2 linked regions of the Oryzias latipes genome follow. The protein of the gene in region 2 binds, or shares a complex with, the protein of the main gene of each other region. Links are inferred from orthologs where the notes say so. Each region holds a gene or a part of one and is shown on either strand. Other genes may lie near its edges.

Evidence for each region. The genes of interacting proteins can lie anywhere in the genome.
Region 1: exosc7 (region 2) and exosc5 share a complex: the UniProt entries of both Homo sapiens proteins name them as parts of the RNA exosome core complex. The link is inferred for Oryzias latipes from reciprocal best matches to the Homo sapiens genes EXOSC7 and EXOSC5.

The regions. Positions count from the first base shown.
Region 1 is NC_019873.2:26,312,188-26,316,942, forward strand, and holds exosc5 (exosome complex component RRP46), read right to left. Parts: upstream 3,411-4,755; 5' UTR 3,365-3,410; coding exon 3,268-3,364; intron 2,249-3,267; coding exon 2,135-2,248; intron 1,584-2,134; coding exon 1,462-1,583; intron 1,378-1,461; coding exon 1,237-1,377; intron 758-1,236; coding exon 668-757; intron 580-667; coding exon 484-579; 3' UTR 408-483; downstream 1-407. Other genes in the region: catenin alpha-1-like, read left to right, coding at 4,638-4,755. UniProt on the Homo sapiens protein: Non-catalytic component of the RNA exosome complex which has 3'->5' exoribonuclease activity and participates in a multitude of cellular RNA processing and degradation events.
Region 2 is NC_019869.2:5,727,259-5,732,287, forward strand, and holds exosc7 (exosome complex component RRP42), read right to left. Parts: upstream 3,430-5,029; 5' UTR 3,348-3,429; coding exon 3,291-3,347; intron 3,198-3,290; coding exon 3,096-3,197; intron 3,024-3,095; coding exon 2,929-3,023; intron 2,248-2,928; coding exon 2,082-2,247; intron 1,011-2,081; coding exon 940-1,010; intron 861-939; coding exon 737-860; intron 663-736; coding exon 507-662; intron 438-506; coding exon 333-437; 3' UTR 269-332; downstream 1-268. UniProt on the Homo sapiens protein: Non-catalytic component of the RNA exosome complex which has 3'->5' exoribonuclease activity and participates in a multitude of cellular RNA processing and degradation events.

The sequences.
Region 1 (4,755 bases), on a different chromosome or scaffold from region 2:
TATTTTAAGTCATAGTTTGATTTAAATATGAAGAAACCAAAAAAAAAAAAAAATCTAAATTTGTCTTTTGTGTCTGTTTAGCTGTAAATGTTGTGCTCATTAAAATGAAAAAAGTTGTTTACATACTCAATTACGAACTGATTATATTTTATTTCAAACAAATATGCTTTAGAGGAAAAATGGAAAATATAAAAGGTAAAAAAAACAATACATATCCAAAAGTGAGTGAGACGAAATAAAAGTCTTATTCTAATCCCCCCCCCCCATGCAGTCCAGACTCAGACTCAGTCCAGATATCATATATAATCGATGGACACCCAGAGAAAATAGCAAACGCCAAATATAGTGGAGTGAGTAGTGAGTGACTTCATACACTTTGTTTTGTCAAAACTAAACCAGACAGGCAGTGGTGTGGATGATAACATTTATTACATCAGGAGTTGTACAAAAATGTAGAACAAAACGGGCAAAAGTGTGTCTCCATCAGAGGGATTTGGAGTAACGCCGCCTCACAGAGTCTCTGTAGAACTGGAAGATCCTCTCTGAGGCTCTCTGGCTGACCGCTACACACTGCTGCAGCTGCAACCAGCAGAAGAAAGACAAGAAACATCTGAGAGGATTGAAATGAGAGCTTAGCGGAAGATGATGGAAAAACGGCTGGACGGACCTCATGAACGGAAAAGGATCCTTTGGTGGATGACATCATTACTTTACGTTCTTTACTGTCGATGGCAAAAGTCATCAAAGCTCGACTCTCCTTTGAAAAGAAATTAAAATAGGACTTTAGTGCCAGACGGGCAGACAACCAATTTTAAAGGCAAACTGTTTTAGAACTGAAACACTGAGACAAAAGGATGAACTGAAGGTGACACACTAAAGAAAAACTGCATTTTTATGAAATAAAAAAAAAATAGTTTTGGTGGAAAATGAACCCATTTTTTTTTAGCAAAGTTAGAATTTTTATTAGCCTTTAAATTTGTTTATCCTCCCCTGAGCTGGAATCTGGATCTAAACTACACAGCTGGATTTTTGTTTCACCAGTAAAGTTAGGTCAGGGGTGTGATCTGATGAAAACCGACATCCATGTTTTAGGGATTCTATGAAATGTGACTTTTTTTCATGAAAATTAAACCATAAATTGAGAACTTTTTGTTAAACTTGCTTTCTGATTATATTTCTACATTCAAAGCAGCAAAAATGAAGATTTTCAGGTTAGTGTCAGCATCTTTGGTTGACCTTTTCCTGAGCTGAGGTGGGGTCAGTGATGATCTGCCCGTATGCGCTGATGGCGCAGGTCACGCCGCAGAAGAGGCAGCTCATCGGCAGACCTGCGTCCATGAGGGCCATGCAGGCTGCATTCAGGCAGCAGGACAGGAGCTGCAGAGCAGGTAAGGAAGACGACTCGGCAGGTGCTAGGCCACGCCCCCCGCGGGTTCAGAGGTCGGGTTTAGTAAAGGATACAGAGCCGTCGTCGTGCAGCACCTGGAGGACCAGCGTGAGCGAAGATCGAGGGTGGAGGGTGAGCAGCAGCGCCTCCTCGCAGGTTTCACGCACACACTGCTCCTGCGAGCGCTCCCTCACACCTGGAAAACAGAGGCATGATGGGATATGAGTTCAAAGCTGATAAGGAATCCACTGGCTCCCCCTTATGGCGTAATCCTATAAATCAGTTGCACAAAACATTCCTAAAGAAAGACTTTAATACCTTGATCGGACCTTTGTCTTAATGCTTATTTATAAATTGCAGAACTGTTGAGATACGAGTGAGCCTTCAGATGAAACTAAAACCCACATGAGACCTGAGGAAGTTCATCTTTTTACTGTGATTCAGTAGAAATAAAACAGCATCTGTGATTTCCATTCAACCCAAAGACATGAATGAAACCAGGCTTAAGAGGATATTTGCATATAAACATTTGAATCCATTGAAAGTGATTATAATTGTCTCTACATTTAACAGACTTCCTTCTTTAAAGCTGGATTTATTCATTTTAGAGCAACAAAAACAAGGATTAGTAGTTGTTTTTGCTTTTTTTCTACAACAGATTAAAAACAAAAAGGATTGAATTGGTTTCAGAAAAACCAGACACACGTGACAGCATCTGACTTTTCCAGGACATGCAGCAGAACTTACTCGGCAGACCAACTTTGGGCTGAACCAGCACCTCCAGAGTTGCTCGGTCGTAGATCTCCTTACTGACCTTTACTTCAGCAGGTCCATAAACTCCAGCCATCACACTCGTGTCCCCTCCAGAGACACAAAAACAACACAAAGATCAAAGTTCTATTAAAATAGAGGACAAACCTGAAACAATGATGTGATTTCTACATTCTTATTGTGTCTGTAAACTTTGATCTTGGCTATAAAACATAAAAACAGTGTAAATCTTGCAGTAAATGCATGACCAAATCTGCTGCTTAGAGTGGTGGTTTTGGTTCAGTTTCAGGTTTACTGTAGAATTATTACATAGTATATAATTCATTCATCTTCTAAACCCGTTTTGTCTCTTTCAGGGTCACAGGCCTGCTGGAGCCTATCCCATACACTATATTAAACAATATCTTGAAAAAAAAGAATAAAAAAGAAGATGGGGTCATATTAAAAAAATAATTTAAAGCATTACCCCAAAAAAAAACTTTTATAGGGAAATTATTAGAAAATCTTTGAAAAAATGTTGCTCCAAGACCCCAGACTATACAGTCCGATGCCGGCGATGTAAACAGTTCACAATGACCACTAGGATACAAATATTCAAAGATGATTTGGGGAATGAAAAAAAGAGGATGAGTAAACCAAGAAATAAATATTTAAATTTGAGAGAGCTGATCTGAACACAGAAAGTAAAACAGATGAATCCAACATTTCAACATCTTTATTTATAGAAAAATGACTAGAAATTATTTTTCAAATGTTTGGCTTCTTAATGGTTTAACAGCAGTTGACTTTTGATTACAAAAAACTAAATGTGAAAAGATAAGTTCGTAAAAATATTTAGTTATTATTTAGCTGCTCATTTTTGTTCTTGAATATTAACAATTTTACAACATTTACCAAGAGCTAAAACTAATGCAAAACCAAAATAAAGCAAATACAAAAAGTACTTTAGGACATTCTTAGCTTAAAACTCATTTAAAGATCGTTTGCCAGCAGTCGAGAGTCAAATTATTTCTCTGAAATAATAAGTTTGTCCATAATTCTTTGGGCGGAATCGGGAGTTGTACTCATATTCTTAAAGAAAAAAGTCAACATTTTCCTTCAGCTGTTACCTTGAACGAAAGACGCAGATCCATCCGGCCGAGAAAGTAAACTCTGCTCGCAGCCAAACTCTCGGAGAGAAACATTTGAAGGAGCAGAAACCTCCATCACGTTGCCAACACGGAAGGGGATGCGTCGCTGGACGATGACGTCATCTATTTACCGACGCGAAGGGGCTCTGCATCAAAACCAATGTTGTGTTTTAAATTTTGTGTTCAATAAAAAACAGTCAGAAAGTCAACAACAAAGTAAGTAGTTTAAAAAATATATTATTAACATTATTATTATTATTATTATGATTATTGCTATTGTTGTTGTTGGACACTTTTATTACGTGTCTTTATTTTCCATATAAAATGTATTTTTTACGTATGCCTGTCATTTAATTGGTGTCAGTATTTGACATAAAGACAGCAGGTAATGCAGGCAGTAAAACAGCTGCACTTTTTGAGATTAGACATAAACAATGGATCATTTGTTAATGAATGAATTAAGGCTTTTTGGAGAATTTTTACTGTTGGTGTTGCACAAAATTAGGAAAATGCCAAAATAAACTTTGATTAATTCCAGTGAGGAGTTATATGATTTAGTTTTTAATGTTTTATAAGACCTATAAATGGTTTTCATAATAGCAGTTTAAAAAAAAATCAAATCCCTTTGATACGTTTCACAAAGACACACACAGCACGTCACACAGCAAGCAGAAATGAACTTACTTGCTGACAAAAAATTTGACAAAACAGCAAATAAAACGGAATAATTTGAATTAAATATTTCCAGACTTTGTTTATTTTGTTCTGCAGCATGTTCATATTTGTATAATTTTGACTGAATATATTTTTATGGAGAGCACCGTTATTAACGGTTTAACTTGATTTATTCTGGATTAACAATACTGTCTGTTTTTATTCATTTTTATGTTAAAAAACCTCTGTTATAAAGGTTTAAAAGTATTTTTTGTTTTGTTTTTTAAAGTGTAGCTTTAGTTTGGTAAATAAATGTTGTTGGGCCCCCAACTTAAAGCATGTTTTCTGTTTAGGCCCCCTGTGTGAGTGAGTTTGACACCCCCGTAATACGAGCCCACAAAATTCACGCATCTTTTGTGTAAAATGGCCAAATAAAAATAGGGAACACAAAAGAACGTCAAATTGCACTGGGGAGTTACTCTCCCTGGGAGTAAGTTAGTGCAGAACCACCACTGCAGTCAATAATCAATGAATAATGTCAGAAATGATGATTTATATGTTATTAATTCTAAATAACGTTGTGACAACAGTTGCTATGGGGAACTGCCATATGGCACTTTGTGTAGCATGATAAATAATACATGCAGCACAGCTAATTCTTTCGCAGAGGGAAGAATTCACCGATAAATGAAACTATGCCTTCATGTCTGGATCAAAGTTTTATCAAAACTGCAGCAGTGGAGAAAGTGGTTGCCCCAATCTCCAGTCACCTTTGTCTCCTCGTGCTGCTGTGCGACAGTGAACATGAGCCAG
Region 2 (5,029 bases):
AGTCTGGTGGCGGCAAACCCATTTGATGGTCCAGTCCCGTTCTTACCTCAGAGACATCATAGAACCATCATCACCCACTTCCTGTGGTAATAGATGATAATGTTCCACCACATGGTGCCAGAAGCTGGACCTCGGGAAGTAGGTGTGGCTTCATATGGTGTGGTCAGCAATGACCCCTGACCTGAAGCCCATAGAGCAGGTCTGGGACAGCTGAAGCACAGACTGGATGATAGTCTTCTTTTGAAGGAAAAATACACTTAGACTAAGATTTATAGAAAATGTTAAATGTGCTTTATGTAAAAAAAAAATGAAAGTACACAGTAAAGTTTATTTCAGCCAAGAAAGCCAACTTTTTCTCTCTTCTTTCCCAGACTCTCTTCCTGCTGCAGCAGCTTCATGAGTGGAGCGTGAAGAGCTTTCCCGACTCGTTTGCCCGCCTGCACAAACAAAAGAACATTAACTTTATTCTGAAAGGTCAGGGTCGTTGAAAGGTCGTCTACTCTCACCTCTGTCATTTCGAAGATGCTCTCTGGATCCAGGCTCCCGCCGCCCACCTTTTTGACGCAAGTCACCGTGCCCCTGTGCGTGACGGCGATGATGAGGCTCGCCACCGAGCACGCCTTCTCCTGCAGAGTCGCGTCCACTACGTGTCTGTGGCCCACCTGCTCAACGACAGCCACTCTTCACAAACCGTCGCGTTTACGACCACGGACTTCACCTGCGAGCAGCGGCTCACCTTACACAGCGTCACGATGCAGGGAACATTTTCCACGCTCAGCCTCACGCAGTCAAACGGGTCGTCTGAAAGCTCCACCTCCTTCCCGCCTTCATCGTCCGACGACATGTGGACTCTAGGGATTCTGGGGGAGAAATGATGGGAGCACAGGATGAGCTGAAAACGTCTCCAAACACGACGAAATGTGAAAAACTGATACACACTTTGTGTTGAAGAGTGCCGCTTTGATGGCGACAGAGATGGCGTCGTACAGGTTGCCGTCACACTGCAGCAGCTGCAAACAAGACGATGCAAACGCCTTTATGAAGTGGTGGTTTTTACAAATCATTTGAGGCCTTTGAGGTGAAGCTCCGCCCCTTCTCAGGCCGCATTTCTTCTAACTGGCTGACTGACTAAGTAGACCTCACTTCCTCATTACACATCAGCTGCCTTTCAACTCATTTAGTGTTTCTTGAGTCCGACAAACCTCCTCCATGAAAAACAAACTGCATCCACTGCAGGCCGGTATGACTATTTGGGGTTTAAGGAACAAAAAATAAAATAAAATACATATTTCTTGATACTTTCACAAGTTGAAGTGCTACTATGGAGTTACATCAGTGTCTCTTAATTATTTTACCCAACTATGAAGAAATGACGCTTAAAATTAGAAAGAAAAAAAAACAACAGCATATAATTATGAAACTAGAATAAAAAAACTATAAACCTACAGTGAAAATGAAATAAAATTAATGTTTATTAGAAACTGGTATGTTTTTGTTAGTTAAACAAACGAAAAAACCAAAACTTCACTATATAAAACGGCAGCTGCTACAAATGAAGATCATTTTTTATTTGGTAACATTTGTAAGTTTATAGTTTTTTTAGTTTAAGTTTTAAATCTACAATCTTTGTATCCAATTTTCTGTATTTCTTCAAGTTTAGAATGTATAATTTCAAGTTTAACACCATTTCAAAACATTCTTCTTTTTCTTTTTTCAAGTTTACAACCTTATTTTTTCTTAATTTTAACCTGATTTGACCCCATCTGCTACCCCTCAGCAGCACAGCAGACATACTTCAGCATTTCATTTTTAATGCATACAAGGTAAACAAAACACTTGCTTAACTTTATTTAAAAAAAAAATCTAAATGCAGCAACAAGTTTTTCCTAAACAAACAAAAAACATGTAAATGTCTACTTCAACCTGTTTTTTTAACCCAATTTTTTACCCAAAATTCTAAAAAACTTAAAAATCATAAGATTTAGCATTATTACTGAATTTACGTCTATTGTTGTTGTGTTTATTGTTTTATTTTTAACATTTTTATGTTGTGTTTATATTTTTATGTTAAAGAGACTCACCAGGACATCTACATAGAGAACCCAGCAGTGCTCCCCAGCACTGATGCAGAGGCCCTTCAGGTCTATGCTGTTCTTGTTGTTGAAGACTCTGTAGAGAGTGTTGCTCAGCTCGATCCCTAGCTCCTCACCTCCTCTGCCTTCAAACTCGGGGGTGGCGTTGGCAGAGCTGGGGGTGTTGGGGAAAAAAATGTCAGGGAATCAAAAAAAAACATCAAACATTGACAATAACTCAGTTTGGTTCCGATTCTTAAACCAGAACAGCCCGGCATGGTCCTCATGAACACCCTCTACGTCTTAAAGCTGAATACCTGGATCAGGTGAGTTCAGCCAATCGGAATGAGGAGTTACAGAATCAGAAGAAAGCGGAGAGAAGTGGGGAAAACTGAGTCAATGGTGCAACAGTTAATCCCAGCAGTTATTAGTTTAGGAGTTTATTATCCTGCAAGATGATTTAAACAAAAACAGATATCCAAAATAAACTTTATTTTTAAAACATCCTCATTACTTTAAAATGCTTCGCAGGACAAAGACATCCTTCAAACTTCAAAAACAAACACAAAAAATATTTAAACATGCATTATAAGCTTTAGAACATGTAATGATCTCAACAAAAACATCAAGAGAGACTTCCCAACTTAGCCAAAAAGAAATCAAATATGTAACGGTTTAGGGTTCAGGTATTTCTAATATTTATATCAAGCCAAAAATGCAAACATTATTCATTTTAATAAACTATAGAGGCTATTCAATGTTTTTCTTTACTGTTTTGATGCAATACAATTCTGTCAAATGTCAAATTGTGCACATTTTGATGTCCAAACCTGCTTTAAATGCACACTAAACCTACCAATCAACAAAGAACTCCAGGTATCCTTCATCTGGAACCAGTGGTCTTGGTTTTCCTATTTCTGCTTTAATCCCAACCAGGACGGCGGTGTGTCCCTGAGAAGCACGATGGAAGGAAAATAAAGACACTGTTTCTGCGGATCTTTCACACGTAAATGTTGATTTTACCAGGGAGACTCTGGCAGATCCATCAGTGTTTGAGACCACATCCGTCTCCACTTCCATGTGTCGGTAGTCCTCACAGCTTCTTCCATCCACACGTAAATCATCCTGAGGAGAATACAAACATCCACATCTTTAGGTTGGTGTGACAACTTCACAGACATTTAGCTTAATAGAGCACACATTTCTAGAACAACTCACTCTTATTCCGTGTAGAATGTACACCTTTTCAGCCTCGCTAACTTTAACTGTTGCCATGTTAACTCAACAAACAGAAGAAGAAGAAACGGTGCCGGGAGGCTCTTCTTCTACAGTTTTCTCGATGAAGGAACTATGTCGCCACCACCTGGAAGAAGTGGGAGCTGCTGTTCAACATCACAAAATTTAATAATAATAATAATAATAATAATAATAATAATAATAATAATAATAATAATAATAATAATAATAATAATACAAAAACAATAATAATAATAAAATAATGACAATAATAATACATTTTTGAGAGTAATCTTTTTTTTCTTCTGTGTAGGAATGTAGATGCTTGTGCTATGTTTGTCCATATCATAAAGAGTATATAGACAGTTTTAAAATATATTTCTATTTAATTATATTCAGATTTTTTTATATTTATAAATGCACATATACAAAACAAGTTAGGGTGAACAATCGTTATAAATGCGCATATTGAAAAAACAAAACAAAATTTAAAAAATATGATAAAGGCAAGGCAAAAAACAATTCAAAATAACAGTACGTTTGATATATTTTGATAAATTACTGTAGTTTTCTTGTTTTTGTTTGGAATGCATTTAAGACACTTATAATAATCAGAAAAGTAATTCAAAAAATACCAAACAAAGGGCATGTAGTTTTCCATTTACATAAATGAATGAAATTTTTGCATTAAATAATAACAACATTAATGACATCAGAAATTCCTGGGTCCATATTTTCCATATAGAAAATAACAACAGATAAGGAAAAAAGGGAATATTTAAAACTTTGAGTGACAACCAATTGTGAATATCAGTCCAAAATATTTTTATCTGTAACTGTAACAGAGATGTTCTAACGTTTCAGTTTCAGATTAACAGAATAGGCATGGCTCCGATTGAAATTTGAATCTTTTATGTAAAAAAATCTCCAACAGGGTAAATTTGAGATATTATTTTAAAATGCGTTTCTTTCATTTTAGGTGGAAGTGGGTACTTTGTGTATAAAGAAAAAAATGTGTTCATTAGGGTGGTTTCTAAGTCCCGTCTATTGTTTATACTAAAGTTGCAGAAAGTTATTTGTTTAAAGGTTAGAGTTACTAATTTATTGGTGCATTTTTTTTTCATCTTTTAGGGGAATATCATTAATTTTCAGATCTGTAAATTGTGGTTTGATTGCATTGTATTGTAGTATGTATTGTCAGAAATATGATTATTTGGGTGTTTTTTGGAAGTACTTGTAAAAAAAATAAAATGATTTTAAATGGAAGAAAAATTGCCCTGCGTTTTGGCCAAAGGGGTGGATTTAATTTTAGACCATAATCTGATTGGTCAGTTTACAGGAAGTCCTTCCCGGGTTCTCTCCTGACAGACCATACCCAGGGCGAATCTACTAGGGGTAATCAAACTTCCTGGTTGGGTATGGGTGCGTTTTTATTCCTCCCGCAGAGATTTCTGGATGAGACCCTTCAAGAAAACATAAAATACAGTGACTTATTAAAGTTTAAGTCGAAGAACTAGCTAGCAAATTACCTTGTTAATTAAACGGAGACCAGAAACCAGGAAGAAGCCATTGAGTACACGCGTTAGCGGGGATTTAGCTAACGATCACAGCGGGCGGGGCGGACGTGGTTCGATTCCCTAAGGCTTCAGGAAACGTGAAATCTTCTGGATTCTTGACAACAAAGCTAAGAGGGTGACAGGTGGGTTGTTGAGCCAGAAAAA